Linked DNA regions of Drosophila melanogaster. Changing the gene in region 2 together with the main gene of any one other region gives a genetic interaction. Each region holds a gene or a part of one and is shown on either strand. Other genes may lie near its edges.

Region 1 (5,995 bases), on a different chromosome or scaffold from region 2:
ATTCTCAACAAGCTCTCGCCGGCCAGCTGCCCACTCAAAAGTTGACTTTTCGCTGCCGTCCGGGCAAACAAAAAGCGAATCACAAACAGCACAGAAATACGATGAGAAATGGCATGATAGACAGGGGAGGGGGGAGGAAGAAAGAGGAAACAGCCCAGTTGCACTTTTAGTCGTGTGATTAATATGCCGAGCTAGAAAAAATGCCGAATGGGCGCATTTTAGATAAGCATTTGGTTGGATGATGACTCATCGTCTTCGAGCACCAGGCAATCGTTACTCCACACACCGAGCCACTTTGTTTATCTTTCTATATGTGCGATGCGAAATTTTTTGGGATAAACAATCTGCAGATTCAGATGGAGAATAATCCCCGTAAGCAGTATGCACACACAATATCTGGCCTATTGCCACAGCGAAAATTCTGGAAAACGTGTTATCTGCAAAGTGGGCGTATAAATAAGATATAGCCGCAGATAGAAAAGATTCCCATTTTCATGCGAATTGAAAAGCTCCAAGGAATCCAAGTGCGGCAAGTGGAAAGTTTTATGGCAGCAGCCCGGCACTGATAAGACTGGTTGGAACTACGTATCATAAAAGGTAAGTTGGGACAGTGATACCTCGTTGCGCGGAATCAAACTTTTTGTATGGAGCATACGTTCTGCACAATAAAATAAAATGGGAATTCAAAATTCATTTGAAATATCAATAAAAATAGTTAATAATAAAATACAAAATATTGTGGGCGTAGAATTTGTATGTCCAATAGCAAAACCTTTTAGCTTTTAAAGTTCTAGCGATCTCGACGTTCATACATATGTTAGCAATAATACAATTTATTTAAATAAACCATAAAAGTGTTGGCATATAACTTTATAAAAATTCGCGTTCTTTGAGTTGGACACACCAATTTGAATATTAGTCATGCACTCTGTGGGGGGAAAATTTGTATGGGCATGACATCAAAGTTGGGATTGTTATGCCCGTAGAGCTTTGGTTGGGGTCACTACAATTTCCTCGGCCCTTAGTATGGCGTCCAAGCATTTCTGACCACTTCGAAAACCGACGATTGCAAACACCCAAGCGCGGGTGTGCTGCCTTTGTTGTTCCTGGCTGTTCTTTTCGCTTTTTGCTTTTTGCTTTCTGCTGCTTCGACATTTGTGCCAGCCAGCCGCGTTCATTTTATATTTTTCTTGTTCAATTTTTTATAAACAACGCACACACTTACGATTGCCCTGTGAGAAACGAGAGTCGTTTGTGGTATTTGTTTTTGTACTCATAAAAGTTTAATAAGCATGCCTCAGTGTTCTTTTCCTCGTGGTTGTGTGGGTGTACGCCGTACATCGACAATGGAAACCTCGCCGTTGCACCACCCCCAACCGAGCCCAAAGTGAGCCCCCCCACCACCACCACTTTGCCACACCAAGTATTATTTAAGTAATCATTTATCGTTGCTGCTCGCCTGACATTTTGCACGATGTTTGTCGGCTTTTGTTTCGTCTAACGAGAAACACCGGATCGATTGGGTTATATTGAGCTAAGTAATGTGTCGGCACACGGTTTCTTATCACCACATAATGCTCGTTCCGCGAACAGATCAATGTTTGTTGTCACACTTGCCCCGATGACCTCACTTATCTGTTCATAAATCCCACCGATCTTAAGCTCATAAAATATGTGCTCAAGTCTATTTGTCAAAAAATAAAGTAATTAAGGAATATTTGTCCAAACTGTCATCTGCAATACAAATACAATCATGGTTGGGTATCACTCAGTTATCAGTCTTGTGTTGGTGCTCAATGGTTCGAAAAGTGATTATTCGACTGAAGTCAGTCAGGTTATCAAACAATACAGCTACCAAACATTGTCTTTTATTGCTTAACTGTAAAGTCTTAGCAAAATTCCAATAAATGGGACTCCTTATCAGCGGAGTGCAACAAAAGATTCGCAGAAATGTATTAATCCTCTATTGAATCCATTTTTTACTGCTCTATATTACTTATTTGTTTTTCAAAAACTAATTAGCATTAGGGTCAATATTTCCATAACCAATGATTTGGGTTTTTCAAGTAATAAATAAATATGATCTTTAATTTTTTAATAATAAGTACAGCTTTGATTACGAGCTAGACAGATTTTCGGGTTTCAAACTTGATAATTGGGCATATTGACAAAAATATTTGTAAAATACGTTGTAGTAAGTTCCTCAAAGTAACTTCCTCAGAAACTATAGATTGAAGTTTTGATTCGCTAGTTCGGGGGCCATCTACTACCACCAGAAAAGCATTTTGCCAGCGATAAGCAGGCACAATATGTGTAAGTACAGTAGGCCCCCAATCTATTGAAGGCGCAGCAGAGTGCTCCATTTACGACAATGAAATGCAACGCAATAAACGACTTTGATAACGAGGTGTCAATGTAACAAAGTAAATAACGAGAGTCGCCGATAAGAAGCCGGCTTGATTTGCGCTTGAGGATAGTGATTCGCATAATAGCGCAATAATTAGCACTGCCTATATCGAAGATCCAGAAATAACTTTAAACACATGTGGTGGACTGGATTGGTGGCGATAAACTTTGCTGCATAAATACATATGTTCAAATCTGACGGGAGTGAGTTCCAACACGATATAGAAGAACTAATTGGGGAAACGAACTTTGAGCACCCTATAGTTTTAAGTATCGTGGCATTTAGAGTATATCTGTTCATTCGAATCTATATACAATATATTTTCAATATATAAAAGCCACATTACTACTTTATTTCAATTCAGGGTGAACTTTAAATGTAAAATATAGTTTCTCAGACCGTAAATACAATTCTGAATAAAGTACAATATTATATTGTATCTCCCTTTCATCTATAAAATTAATGATTTTAACCACTGTTAATAAATAATGGTAGTTATATAATGTATGCGTTTTATTAGTTGACATAAACGAAGAAACCCCTCTGCCAACTAACCTATGTAAGTTGACCGTCCACCTGGCCATTGATTGGAGGACCCACTATGACCAATGATAATCTACGGTGTCCACAGCAATGCGATCGGGTTTATCAAATGTGAAACGCCAAGGGGTTAGCTAACGTCGGCGTCGCTGACAATCGTAATTTGTCCGAAGTGGTAGAAGCCAGCCGGGTTATAGCCAGGCCAAGAAGTCATGGTGGAGAGAGGGGAAGCCCGCGACGGAGGAGGGGGCAGTAAGCGACCGACGACAGCGAGCAAGATAAAAGTGTTGAGCGCGCAGAAGTCGGCGACGTATGAAAGCAAGAGTAGCATGTGAATATGAGAATGATAGGGCCCCGTACGTCAGACACTTGAAAAAATAGTGCTAGAGTAACAGTTAAATATGTGTTGCCAAATGTTGTGATACCAGGTGTTGAATCGGGCCCCAACACATGGGATTAATTTACCAATGCCTTATACAAAAAATTGTATTATGTATTTATACAAAAAAGCTTAATTTTTTAAACAGAGGACATTAAATATATATAATTTTTAGTTTTATAGCCTCGCTTTCTCGCTGTGCAAGGGAGCGAGTGGGACGGTGAGATGGGGAACAGCTAATATACTCGATATCAGTGTTGTTGTTGCTGCCATTTGTGCTATTGCACTCGAAATTCTTGTTGCCTTTGTTTTTATGGGCTTTCCAGGAAACAACAATGAACGGGGAAGAAGAAGACCGGGAAACAGGAGCGTGAAGAACACATGTGCATGTGTGTGGGTATTTTGTTGATGTATAAATAAAGCGTCAAGTGGAAACACATGATGATGGTGCATCGAATTTGTGGCCAAAAGGCAGAGAACCTTCGTGAAGGCCTTGCGGAACCACCACACGCCCACCCACATTATTTGCGCAGTGCACATTTGCAGCGGAGTCCTCCCACCCACACACGCATTTATATACGTACCCCCCACCACTCGTAAATTTGTTGCTCTTTTTCTCCTATTTCTATTTACCTTTGGTACACAAACACCAACGCACAACACTGTGTAAACACACACGGCTGGCTGGTATCGGTTAGTTTGTATTGGTACGCCTGCCGCTGTTGCTCTTCGATATTTTTTATTATGTATTTGCCGTTTTATTTTTAAATCGCGCTGGCTTCACGCACACACAAACATTACACACACGACGCAGTGCGAGGGAGACGGAACGCACATGCACACCCGCACACGCACTGAGAATTTAGAAAAAAAAACTAGAGTCTCGACCAAAGGAAATCCTATCAGTTAAACGAATCCTTGAAAACAAAGTGCACTTGCAAAAGAATTCAACTGGTTGCGCATTTGAAAATTGCTCCGCATTCGAACAATTCCCTATAGTGGCTAAAAAACGACTGCCGCGTCTCTAGAGTTGGAGCGAAAGCGATCCACATGCGATACTATCGGACGATGAACACATGTGAACAATCGCTGTTAACAGTGGGTATCGATTCTGATAAATCTCTGCCAAACCGGGAAGATAGGAAATTCTAATTAGAAAATAAGTTGATTTAATTTTATAGAGCAGCGCAGTAAAATATTGTTAACAACCAGGGACCAAAGCTCGATAACTATGGTAAAACAAAATTTTTGAATTGTTATTACTTATAAATTTTTGACTTGGAATGCACATAATTAAACAAATAGCATTTAGGATTTTTCGTAAAGATGTTCTAAAAGAAACATTAAGACTAAACAAGTTACGAAATATATATCTCTATCGTGCTAATATTCCACTAAACTTTGTGAGTTAATTAAAGAAAAATAAGTTGATTGAAGTTATTATTTAGAAGTAAAATGAATTTGATGGTGGAAAACTCTGATAACCCGAAGTGCAACCCTCGCACCCCTGTTAAGTTAACAGCACTGTCGGCTGCTAAAGAATAAACAATTTGCGAAGCTAATTGCGATAAACAAACATTTATCAAAGGGGGTTTACACCCATTTTCGCATCATTGTGGCGCCGCAGATATGAGTGCGCATGTTGTCTGTACACACACGAGCTGCCACCCACACATATGCACCGCTGGCGGTGTAATTAATTGCATTTGATTGATTTGTCCACCGAAAGTCAAGGTTACCCCAGACGCAGAGAAGCACAATTAATGGTCTTTTGCCAACTCTTGTGTATTCTGCATATAAACATACGCGACTTCTGAATTTTCACCTGTTGTGCGCAGCAACAAGCGAGCATGAGAATGCCACCCCCGACCCTCTTTAAATGAAGAGGGTTGGTGCTCGGAGAGGGGTTTTTTTAAGGCTGTGCCCCGTCTAATCAATAGGCCTTAAATAATTAATCCATTCCACAATCGGCGCAGCACAGCAAATCACTCACCTTTCAGATTGCCTTTTTGGTTATGGCAGGTGTTGGGGGAAAAACGCTTTTTATCCTTAAAACAACACCGCCTGCAGCTCACGGCTGTTGGGCCACCTAATTCCAGGGCAAATAGTCTTAATTATCACTTTTAAAACGCACTAAATTTACGTTGTTTTCGTTTTGCGAGCACTCGAATTTTTGCGAACGCGACTACCAGCATATTTCGATATACAGCACCCCCGCAAAAGATGTTATCGCGTAATCGCCGGAGGTGCCACCTGTCACAACCGATGGCGCGCGTTTTAAAAACGATTGAGATAATCGATCAGTTAAACAATTTTGTAAATTTTAATAATAAAAACACACTAACATACAAGAATTACATAGTATATGCTGGTGTGAACACCCTCAAATTCATGACTATTTTAACAGTCGCAGCGCCTTGACATTGAGTTGGCAATACACAATATACAAAATGTTCGGGTAAATCGTAATCATTAATCTAGGAGTGTTATTGTCAAAGCAACACCATTGAATACGAGGTCCTGGGGAGCAGTATGTGCCAGGCGAGTCATTATTCAGACAGTTTATTGGCTGATATACTTTCGGCTTACGGCGATAATAAATCAATTACGGTTAATAACAAAGTTAAGCGCTTTCGGGTGTCTTCACTTCATCGCTTCTCTCCCTCACA
Region 2 (10,510 bases):
CTAATACAAAATGGTTTCGCTATGGCAAAACCTGGATTATAATTAAATCATACACCTATACTTCGCTTAGCGACTTAGTAAACCGATTTTAGTTTAATTTGATTTGCAACTAGCCACGTGCAACTAGTCCACGGTCACAATTTGAAAAAAGAATCACTTTATTTTGATTTCAGATCGATCGGGGGCGAGTGTGCGAAATGAACAATTTTGATTATAACACTCCTTAAAAGCGTTAAACGAGATATAGGTGTACATCGAGCTGTTTTGTTTAACCGTAAGTTATTGCTTTAATGGCGCTGAATTTCGATTCATTAATAAAGTGCTCGTTTAAGGGGGGACAGGGTCTTTAATTTTAAACACAACAATTCAAAGTTAGTGGTAGTGGTAGGCGGGAGGCAAAGTAAAATTAAGAGTCGTTTAGGACACTTCGTACAATTCTCCGATTCGGTTCTTTTTGGCACATTGCTGCACTTTATATTTTGCCATGTACTACAACAAGTGGTGGTTTCTCATAATCTTCATAAATAAATATACATAGGTCGTATGCTATAAGAAATTGCTGTACAACAACAAGTGAAGCGTGTAGTGGGTGGTTGTCGGGTGCTTGAAACATTGGTAGTTATGATATTCTTAATATTTTAAGCATAGCGAGCAAGTAGGGTGAGCTTTGCATTTGGTATGGCTCGTTTGGGGCATCTGGTCGGTTATCAATCCATTTTTAGAGTGTAGAAAATAAATTTGATCTAAAATGTCAGTCTATTGCGCAAAATCTACATTTGACGTGATTTCTACCCGATTTTCGTTAGTTTAGTTTAGTTGCTTCTTTTCTTTCATTTGTTTCTTTTGTTTTCCTTCTTGTATTTCGTATATAAAAAATTCCCTAATATTTATGCATCTTGTATCGTTCGTTCAGCTCAATCAATCCGCCATCCGCAATTCGTGTGCGATTGCATGGCGTTGCGATGCGATTCCGTCCGATCTCTGATCCTTTCCGATCCGTTGCACGTCGTCCTTGATTCGTTGCCCGCATTAGATGCCGGGTCAGGCGGACGAGCAGGTGGGGATCGGAAGTCGGAAATCGGGTATCAGGGGAGGAATCGGTCTCCTACGGCAACTAAATACGTCATACAGCTATTGCTACTACTGATCTACGACTACTTAGTGGCTACGGGGCACTTAACCTAGCTTCGTGTATGCGTAGGCGCAGATCACGCCCACCACAACACCAGCGGCAATATATGTGAGTAATGACCTTCGTTTCTTTGCCGCCAGCTGTTTGTCCTCGTTCTCCCGCTGCTTCCGCTTCATGTCGTTGACCTTCTGCTCCAGGCTGGCCTGGTATTCGTTGCGTTTTCGCCGCTTCAGCTCGTTCTCGGGACTGAAAAGTACGAATTTGGAAGGGGATTAGAGGGATTTTTGTTTGACTAGGCGGTTGAAAAATAGATACTGAGCAGATCTAAGACTAGATTCTTACCTGGCTGGGAGCTGGCCTGGAATTGGATCGATGCCGTTCGCCTTGTGCTGCTCGTCGACTGGCACCGCTGGCTTCTCGTTGTTGGCATTAACATCGTCGGCATGTGGCTGTGTTGTCGCGGGCACGTGTCCATTAACTGGATCGGCATCGTGCTCGTTAATGGTCTCGTACTCCTCATCCTCATCGGTGTCGTCCTCGTCATCGTCATCCAGCAAGTAATCCTCATCGCTGTCCGAATCGTTGAAAGCCCTTACGGGTAATGGCGGCAAGGGACGACTGTCGGCCACCTCGGCATCGTGGATCATGTCGTGCTGATTAATGAAGTTGTTCAGGGCGTCCTTGCTCAGCTCTTTGCCGATACTTTCAGCTCCATTAGCCTGGGCCGCGCGCATATTGAGCGAAAGTATACCGCCGGAATTGGGGGCCAGTGGCAGATTAAGCGATTGGACGCGTGGGGGCAATGGCGGCGGCAGCTCATCCAGTGTGTGAGTCTCTGTGTCGTTGCTAATGAGGGGTTCTTCAGCGTCAAGAAAGGTCTGAAGAGAAATCAAATGTTCTAATTAGTCGCGGAAAATAATCAGGGCCTTCACAGAAATCTCTGCAAACCAAAAACAATGGTTTCTTTTTCGCATCAATTAAACAATAATCATTAAGCTGATACTAGATCACATAATAAAAAACAAAACTAAACATAATACAGTTTTCAAAAGTAATCATAATTCCATTAAACAATATGAATTCTAGTAACCATAACCAAGCCCAGAGATTTCTGTGACCCCCCAGAATAAATAGCGATGTGCAATATATACGGCGGTGCTTGGCAGCCCCCAAGTTTGACTCCCAAACGCCGACCGCTGGTCGCGCATACATACGGGATCGTGCAGCTTTTTAATGCCCTCGATGATCGCCTGGTAGGAGAAGTCCAGCTGGTCGGCGGTCTGTATGAGGCCCATGCGGTAGCTGCGCAGCTCGCAGAGCACCTTGGACACATTGCACTCTCCGTACTTGTCGATAAGTACCAGGCAACAGTCCACCAGGCAGAAGGTGCCCGACCGCCCGATTCCGGCACTGCAGTGCACTACGGCTGGACCCACGTCGCGGCTGAGGCAGCCGGAGTCGCGAACCTGCTGCAAGAACTTAAGGAATGCGTTCGGCGAGCTGGGAATGCCAAAGTCCGGCCATGTGGTGTAGTGGAACTGCATCACTTCACGACTCTGCTGCGTTTCGAGATCGGTTAATCTAGAGAAATAGTCAAAGGCAATTAGTCCACATGTACAAATGGTTTGAAGCAGAAGAAGAATAAAGAGTTCTACTCACTTGAACCATCGCCGCACAAAGTTCTGGTAGGTCTCGAGACGGACGAGCTCCACGGTGAGTTTGACGTGGGGCAGTTTCAGGGCCTTGTCGGCTCCCATCTCGTTGGGCCAGTAGAGGTGGCACTTGATCTGTTTCTTCTCCATCAGCTTGTTGAGCATGAGAACTGCTCTGGACTTCTGCTCCCATACCATCAGCCAGAAGTGGCCCACTGTGTCCACCAGCGGTCCTTGGGTCAGGATGTACTGGCGCTCGGCGCGCTCCAGCTAGAAAGGATTGATTGATCGCATTAGGCGTTTAATTAGGGGTGTGTGTATGCATTAAAAACGTGACCCACCTGAACCAGGTTCGCATTGATGTAGTCTACGCTGCCGCGCTTCAAAACAATGCGGGAATGATCGTACGGATTCACATCCCGATAGCGATTCAGGCCGCGGTTCGTGTGGCGTTCCGATTCCGAGGTGCTGAACTGCTTCTCCTTCGCCTCCCGGTCGCAGGTCTCACAAATTTCCTGGAATTCCGAAAAGAGCGATTAGTACAATCGAAACTACCCATAACAACAAAGGTTGAGGTGGTATTAAAATTCGGTCGCTTTACTGACAACTTATCAGTCAATTTGCAGGCGGTAATTCAGGGGATTTTGTGAGATTTGCGCTATTTACCTAAGCGTTCCAGACCCCAGAAGACAACTACTATAGTGTCTTACTGGAAGATCTCTTCTTTCTGGTACAAAATTCGTAAAAAATATAGTTTTCGTGTTACTCAATTATCTAAGACAGTAATAAGACCAAAAGTTCAAACTAATTAAACATTTATGCATGAAATGACCCAACGAATTCTTCGATACAAGAGCAAACAGCAAATAGCAGTGCACAATAGTATTGAATGGCATTGTTAAAACGAATATCAGAGCTTCCTTTTAGAACCATACAAACTGAGAAACTGTAAGGCGCAATTAAGCTTTTTACGATTTGTGTTCCGAGAAAATGAAAACGTTCAGACTCATAATGGTCTGATAATAACTAGTTTTAAAGTGATACATTTGTTTGACTGACTCGCAAACAAATTGTCAAGAAACGAATTGATAAGATCCTGTTAGAAGAATGCTAGAATGTTACAGAAATCGAATTTGTTTTTTTCCATGGGGGTTGCCCCCTTTGCAGTGATTCATCACTTGGCCCAGCGACAAGGGGCTCCTCCGGATTGGCAAACCCTGCGATTGAAGCGATAGTAGATACATGTAAGGGGCATCGGACTGGGAGGGAACCATGCGGCATATGAAAAGCCCACCCAGTCTACATAGCGGGCGTGACTAATTAGCCATGCGATGTTGGTGATGGCGATGGCAAAGCAAGCTGTCGGTAATGGCATTATCTTGGGCATGACCGGTGCGGCATTATCAGCAGTGTGAACGGGGAATTGCTGGCGCAGCTGAAAGTGGCCCCGCCAATTGAACCATCGAATCCGACTACCGAACCGTTAACAAGGTCAATGGCAACCACCTGGCGACGACAAGTGCTCCTTAAACTCGGCTCAAAGCTAATCACATGCATGCGGTGATGAGTAACCATTTAATATGGTTACCCATCAGCTCGCGTTGATTGCAGCTCGAAAATCAGTTGTTAATTGTCAGTTCGTCATGTTTCAACAATGAATCAGCTGCAAATTCTGCAGCTGACCTGTTATGAAATAACTTTAAAGAGTCATATTTTTACGTAATCTCCAAATCTGAGACGGGCTAATGACCGATAAGGAAGCTTTTCAAAGAGCAAAATCTCAATGGCTATCGCTACATTTGATAATTCGTAATTAGAAACGGAAAGAAATCCATGGTTGCACTTAATATTTCTCGAAACTCCTCAACTCAATAGCATTTCTACAATCACCTATTTAAGGTCTGATAATCGACGAGTCACGTGAGAATACGCGCAGATAATTGAGCTGCTTTATTTAAATGTTTGCCAATGATAAAGACTTTCAGTGTACTTATGATGTATAAAGTTGTATTCCTTGTACTATATCAAACTAGATATGATATATAAAATCAACAATCCATCCGGAACTTATGTAAATCCATAGCTTGGATTGGATTCATTCTGATGGAGAAAACAGTTCTTCGGCTCCGTTGAACATTAAGTCTTGGGCCGTTTACCAGCTACATACTGTTTTTTATGCTCGGTGGCTATCCAGGTGACCCTTCTAAACGGAGTGGCGAAATCCAAGCGAAGGCGCGGAAATCTCGGGGGCTTTGGTTTCCAAAGCGTGTCGTGCAAACCGTTTTATGGTTATTATGTTTCTGCTTTACCTTGCAACGCTCGAAGGAAATCGAGAAACAGTAACAAAAACATTGCATGCACGCAGAGCACAATTGCAACGATGGATAAAGACTTCTTGGCCAATACGAATTTGACATACCCTTTCACACACACTATGCGAGTTAACAAGTTTCATATTTCATAAAATCTGGCTTGACTGTTTCCAGAGAAACGAAAAAGAAGACGGTCACCTGTTGATACCAACGACTGGTAAGGACTATAACACCCTCTGGCAGGGTATAGCTGTGGAGGAGCTTCGTCACAGTCCACGGAGGTTGTCATAATGGGACGGAGTGGGTTGGGTGGGATGTTGATGGAACGGATGGATCGAGAAGGCGCTAGGTATGAGCTGATAGGCGGGGAGGGGCGGCGAGTTGAGAAGACCCAGTGTAACGCACTTCGTTCAATGGAAATGATTAAACATAAAGCAAAGCATAGCAAAACAATACGGTCCGAATGCGTCACTGCGTTTTTGGCTACAGTCCAAATCCCCTATGATGGGCTATCATATGGCAAATGTCAAATAAATTGGAAGTTTTAATGATAACCACAAAATTAGTTGTACCGTTTATGTTCACACATATTTGCGATTTATTAATTCTTAGAAGAATGTGTTTTGGAATTTCTATAATAAAGACAGATAAGTGCCTATAATGGATTATAATTTTCTTCAGAAATGTAGTAGCATGCACAGCTAAATGTTATTAAAGTAAAAATTGGGGTAGGTCGGTCTTATTCATAAAGTAATCATCGAAAAATGTGATGTTTTCACATTGATCATAGTTGTTTTTCATTGCAACAAAAATGAGTCAACGTTTACATGCTATGGAACATATAAAATTCAGCGAATTTAGATGAATTTCACGAAAGTAATATTATCAAGCTGAAAACTATTTATGATTTAATGAGAAAATATGATTAAAGAAAGTTTATTGAAATCTCACTTTGGCCTAACAAGATCGTCTTAGTCAAGTTGCACTGTATTTCAGTGGAAATGGCTGGTAGCTATTTTCCAGTCAGTTTCGACGCACAATTGCGGGCTGCCTTCCAGTTAGCTGGAAAATTAGATTATCCTCGACGCGAGCACAAAGGATGACGAACGAGGATGCCGAGGAGCGGGTCCAGAAACGAGATATTTCTACACACGACCATATACTGTGTCATCCTAACTGCGGAGTGGAATTCCGTGAAATCCCAATTCAAGTGAGTGGAAGCGCTGAAAGAGGCACAGAGGAACAGAGGAGGAGGAGTAGCAGCTGAAGACAGTTCGCCGGAACTGGCTATAAAGAACGAGTGGAGGTGGAGGAGGAGAGAAGAAGGGGCAAGGAGAGGATTCCGACTCCAATTCCGACAGGCAACCAGAAGCAGCCCAAAGCGAGACTCAAAAAACCAGACGCATGCCCTTTGTGCCCCTGTGTGCGTGAGCCTCTCTCTCCTGCTCAACGCGAGCGGGTGTGTGTGTGTGTGCGCGCGTTAGAGGAGTTCTTCAGTGGAGAGCACTGTCACCCCTCCACGAATTGTATTTTGTTTTTGGGGGACGGCAATCACAAACACAACGAGCTTCCCAGAAATCGCCTCCAATTTGATTTGGCCAAACGAGAATTCGCGGAATAGCTCAAGCGCTCTATTGATAGTCAAAGGAAAGCGTTTTTGGGGAAAGGTATGGCAGAATAACAAGCATAAATATGCCAAATACAGGCCAATACACACGCACGAACTCACACACACACGCGTTCGATGGAGAATGCAAAGTAAAGTGCAGCAGGTGTGCGTGTATGTGTGTTGGTGCTATTCTGTTTGTACATTCTTTTCCATGGGTTTTTGTTTTTGGCCAAAGCCTGGCTGTTAAAGCAACAACTGCAACAACAACAGCACTGACACACAATACACACGCACACACGTAAAGCTCGCCGCTGCACTGGTGTTGGTGGTGGAGGCATCTGCAGAAGCCTTTTGCGCACTCATCACATTTTCGTGGAAATCGGAGCGCCAAGGAGCTGTGGAAAGGTGTATACTCCGCATCCGTTGCGAATCCTTGGCGAATCGAACTGTGCCACAATCATTCGTCCAGTTTGTAACCAGTTTTCAGTGCAGTCGCAGTTGTTGTTGCCAATTACCTTGTAGAAGCGATGCCATTGCGGCCCCTTGTCCTTGTACTCCGCCTCGATTTGCAGACGGGCAGCGGCCGCCGACCCACTCCCACTCGTTTTCTGCTCGCTCATTGTGCACACTTTGCTGCGATTTGTTCCGATTTAATAACTTTTAATTTGGTTATCAGGCGGCTGGTTAATTTCAGAGGAGAACTAGAGCTGGACAACTCACGACAGTGTCGATGTATCGAATATTTGAGCTTGCGAAATACTATCGGTATTTGCAGTGCGATACCGAGTGATAGTTCGATTGTACATCACTATATTGATCGCATTACATATTATATTCTCTTATGGTGATTCCTATTTACAAATGCAAGCCAAACACAATATATTGTATCTGCGACATTATTATTCTGAAATATTAGTTACGTCTATCGATATTTTCACCATCAAATAATGTGACCAGGCGCTGTAGAGCAATAGAACACATACTGAAACTAAAGTGCTTGCGCAGAAATTAGAACTTTACTGAAACATAATATAACATTCGGGATAAGTTTTCTATAATTTATATAAAATTAAATACTTAACTAAAGACATAACAATATAAAAACAATTGAAATAAAATATTTTAAATAAAAATAAAATAAAAAAAATAAAATAAAATATTTTAAAAGTAAAATAGAAAAATTCTGATAAGAAAATTGGGTTCAAATACTTTAAAATACCGATATTACAATCGCTCATCGTTGACCAGTGTTATCGAGTAATACCAAAAGTATCGAATCAACAACTGTTACCCAATTTATTAATAACAACAGAAAGAAGCCAAAGCAAAATGCTGACCCGCGTGTTCCGCCTAGTGCACGACAGGCGCCTGAGTGTGCCTGTCCTGCGTTGCTTCCACCACGAGTTCTCCAAGCCGCCACAACAGGCAGCGAAGGGCCAGGAAATCGAAGGCAATCCCGAAAAGACTTTGGTTGCCGGCGTGCAAGACAAGTACAAAATATTCCGCGATGAGGAAGCCACGGAGATTTTTGATGTGGAAGAGGCACGCCACCAGGAGCAGCAACTTCCAGAGCCGGACCTGGAGCTGGATCACTATTACGGCCTCAATTTAAAGCGTAGGTTGGCAATCGTCCAGGGAGAGCAGAAATTTAAGCCTTTGTTTCCCTTTGCAGGAGGTGTTCGCGGAGTGTTCGACGTTGAGGACTTGGTGGAGCTGCTCCGCAAGGAGAATGTGGACGACATATTCGTCTGCTACGTGCCGGAGAACCTGAAGTACGTTGACCACCTGGTGGTTTGCAGTGGTCGCAGTTACCGACACATGCTGTCCACCGCGGAGTTCGTGCGCCGAATGTTCAAGATCAAGCGGGGCAAGGGTGACATATTGCCGCGCATCGAGGGCGATAAGAGCCGGGATTGGATGGCCATGGACTTGGGTGGGTATTGAAATAAATGCATATTCCGGTTTCTCCGCTCTAACACGTTCCGTTTCCTTTTAGGCAACATTGCCCTGCACATATTTTCACCGAGTGCTCGCGAGGAATACGATCTGGAGTCGCTGTGGGCCATTGGCTCCGAATTCGACCGCGAAAGCCAAAAACCCACCAATCCCTATGGCGATATTTTCATGGCTCAAACACCCCTTTCTTTCGTAGACAAATCGAAACTAAAGACGTAAAATAATACATTTCACTATTAATAAAAAAAAACTCTTTAGAGCTGCGTACGTGCGAGATCACTTGCAGTGTGATTTGGAAAAACAATAAGGTATGAATAAATATTTCGTGTCAGACTTGTTATTCTCGTGTCACGGCCAAAATAACTATGCGATCGCCCATCTCTAGTTTCTTACTGGGTGCATTCGCTCAGGCAGCCATCTTTAAAATAACTGTAATTTTTATTAACATCGAGCTCTAATAGGGCAATAATAGCCATAATCCGTCAGAATATGACAGCAGTATTTCCAAACAGGAGCTAAATTCTTTTGTAGATGGCCAAGCGACGCTAGCGCCACCTATTTCTGAAAATCTGATAATAACAAGTGCGCACTAAAGTATACTGCAAAAAATGAAAATAACTCTTCTTTTCAGAGAATAAAGGCAGATTCCCTTATATCTATGAAATGTCACAATCAAATTGTTATATATTTGATATGTGATGTATTTTAATTTGTCTTTATCGAATATTGTCGGTATATCTGGTTGTAGCAACGCGTCGGAACATTTTCTCCATTCAACTGGAAGATGCAACAATAGACAGTTAATCCTGTAATTTAGGGTTTTAATAACTTTAAGAAGCCGTACAGTTTGATAGATAACAAATTGTAATAAAAACGCAAAATAATATATTATGAACCAGAAAGCATTCCAATGATTTTATACTTCACAATCGAATTTCCCATTCATTCAGAGAAAGCCATTAAACTCAAATCTCAATGGCTCGAATATATCCTGCGGCGTTTTTTAACGACTGTTTGCTCAAAATATAAATACGCCCACTCAACGATGTTCATTGTGTTTTTATAGTCATCGGGCGAGGTGTGAACAAGGCTGTTTTCAGCACATTGATTTGTGGATTTGCACCGGCCAGCGGAATGCTGAATGAAATTGGAAAATCAGGGAACTAGGGTCCAAGAAGGAGATCCTCCTGGCATTTGGAAATCATTTCTTCGCAGGCCATCAGCGCCAGTTGCGTCACGAGGAGAATTCGAACTTAATATTTTTAAAATACGTTTTCGAAAATAAGTTATCGATGGTGTTTATGAAAACAAACAATGGCCAGTCCGGCGAACGGTGCGATAATCCAATGAGCCAAAGAGCCAGACGGACGCCAATTGGCCGACACATGATAGGCGTTAAATTTTATGAAATTGCTGAAAATCTTGAAATGCCAATTAACGGCTTTAATACAATTTGTCGACGTCAATCAGCAATGATGGAGCAGCGAGTGGAGTGAGGAGGATTGGGCTACGGCCGCTCGTTTCACTTTTCCACTTGGCCATGTGATGTGATATGGGAGGAACTTTCCGCTGGGGGATTTGGCGCGTCCATAATCAGCCCATAATCGCCGTATCGATGGGTTGAAAAACAAATTCCCTGGCCCGATGGGTCAGAGGTGAGCGAGAAGAAGTGCTGATGTTACATCTCATCACCTGGCAGATGCGGGGCATGGAAGGGGGCATATATGGAATCGATTAAATATGCTTTAATGGCCTGACAAGGGGTCAGCAGTTGTTGAGATCTGCCGTCATCAGTTTGGCTGCATAAAATGTAAATCTGATCACCAATCAAAGCTAGTAAGTGTGGATT

The links. Genes that interact genetically often act in the same process or in processes that back each other up.
Region 1: of Ptp61F (region 2) and Stat92E, changing one suppresses a phenotype caused by changing the other (phenotypic suppression), as found in Drosophila melanogaster (one study listed by BioGRID).

What each region holds. Positions count from the first base shown.
Region 1 is NT_033777.3:20,546,762-20,552,756, forward strand, and holds the start of Stat92E (Signal-transducer and activator of transcription protein at 92E), read right to left. Parts: upstream 4,347-5,995; 5' UTR 3,960-4,346; intron 1-3,959. UniProt on the Drosophila melanogaster protein: Might play a role in signal transduction and activation of transcription.
Region 2 is NT_037436.4:1,343,152-1,353,661, forward strand, and holds Ptp61F (protein tyrosine phosphatase 61F), read right to left. Parts: upstream 7,449-10,510; 5' UTR 7,326-7,448; coding exon 7,221-7,325; intron 6,392-7,220; exon of another isoform or gene 6,048-6,391; intron 3,300-6,047; coding exon 3,126-3,299; intron 3,055-3,125; coding exon 2,792-3,054; intron 2,714-2,791; coding exon 2,347-2,713; intron 2,011-2,346; coding exon 1,475-2,010; intron 1,379-1,474; coding exon 1,177-1,378; 3' UTR 832-1,176; downstream 1-831. Other genes in the region: CG9166 (uncharacterized protein), read left to right, coding at 8,035-8,320, 8,378-8,638, 8,702-8,880. UniProt on the Drosophila melanogaster protein: Non-receptor protein tyrosine phosphatase. Required for maintaining dock/dreadlocks in its non-phosphorylated state. Negative regulator of InR/insulin-like receptor signaling through dephosphorylation of tyrosines when recruited by dock/dreadlocks.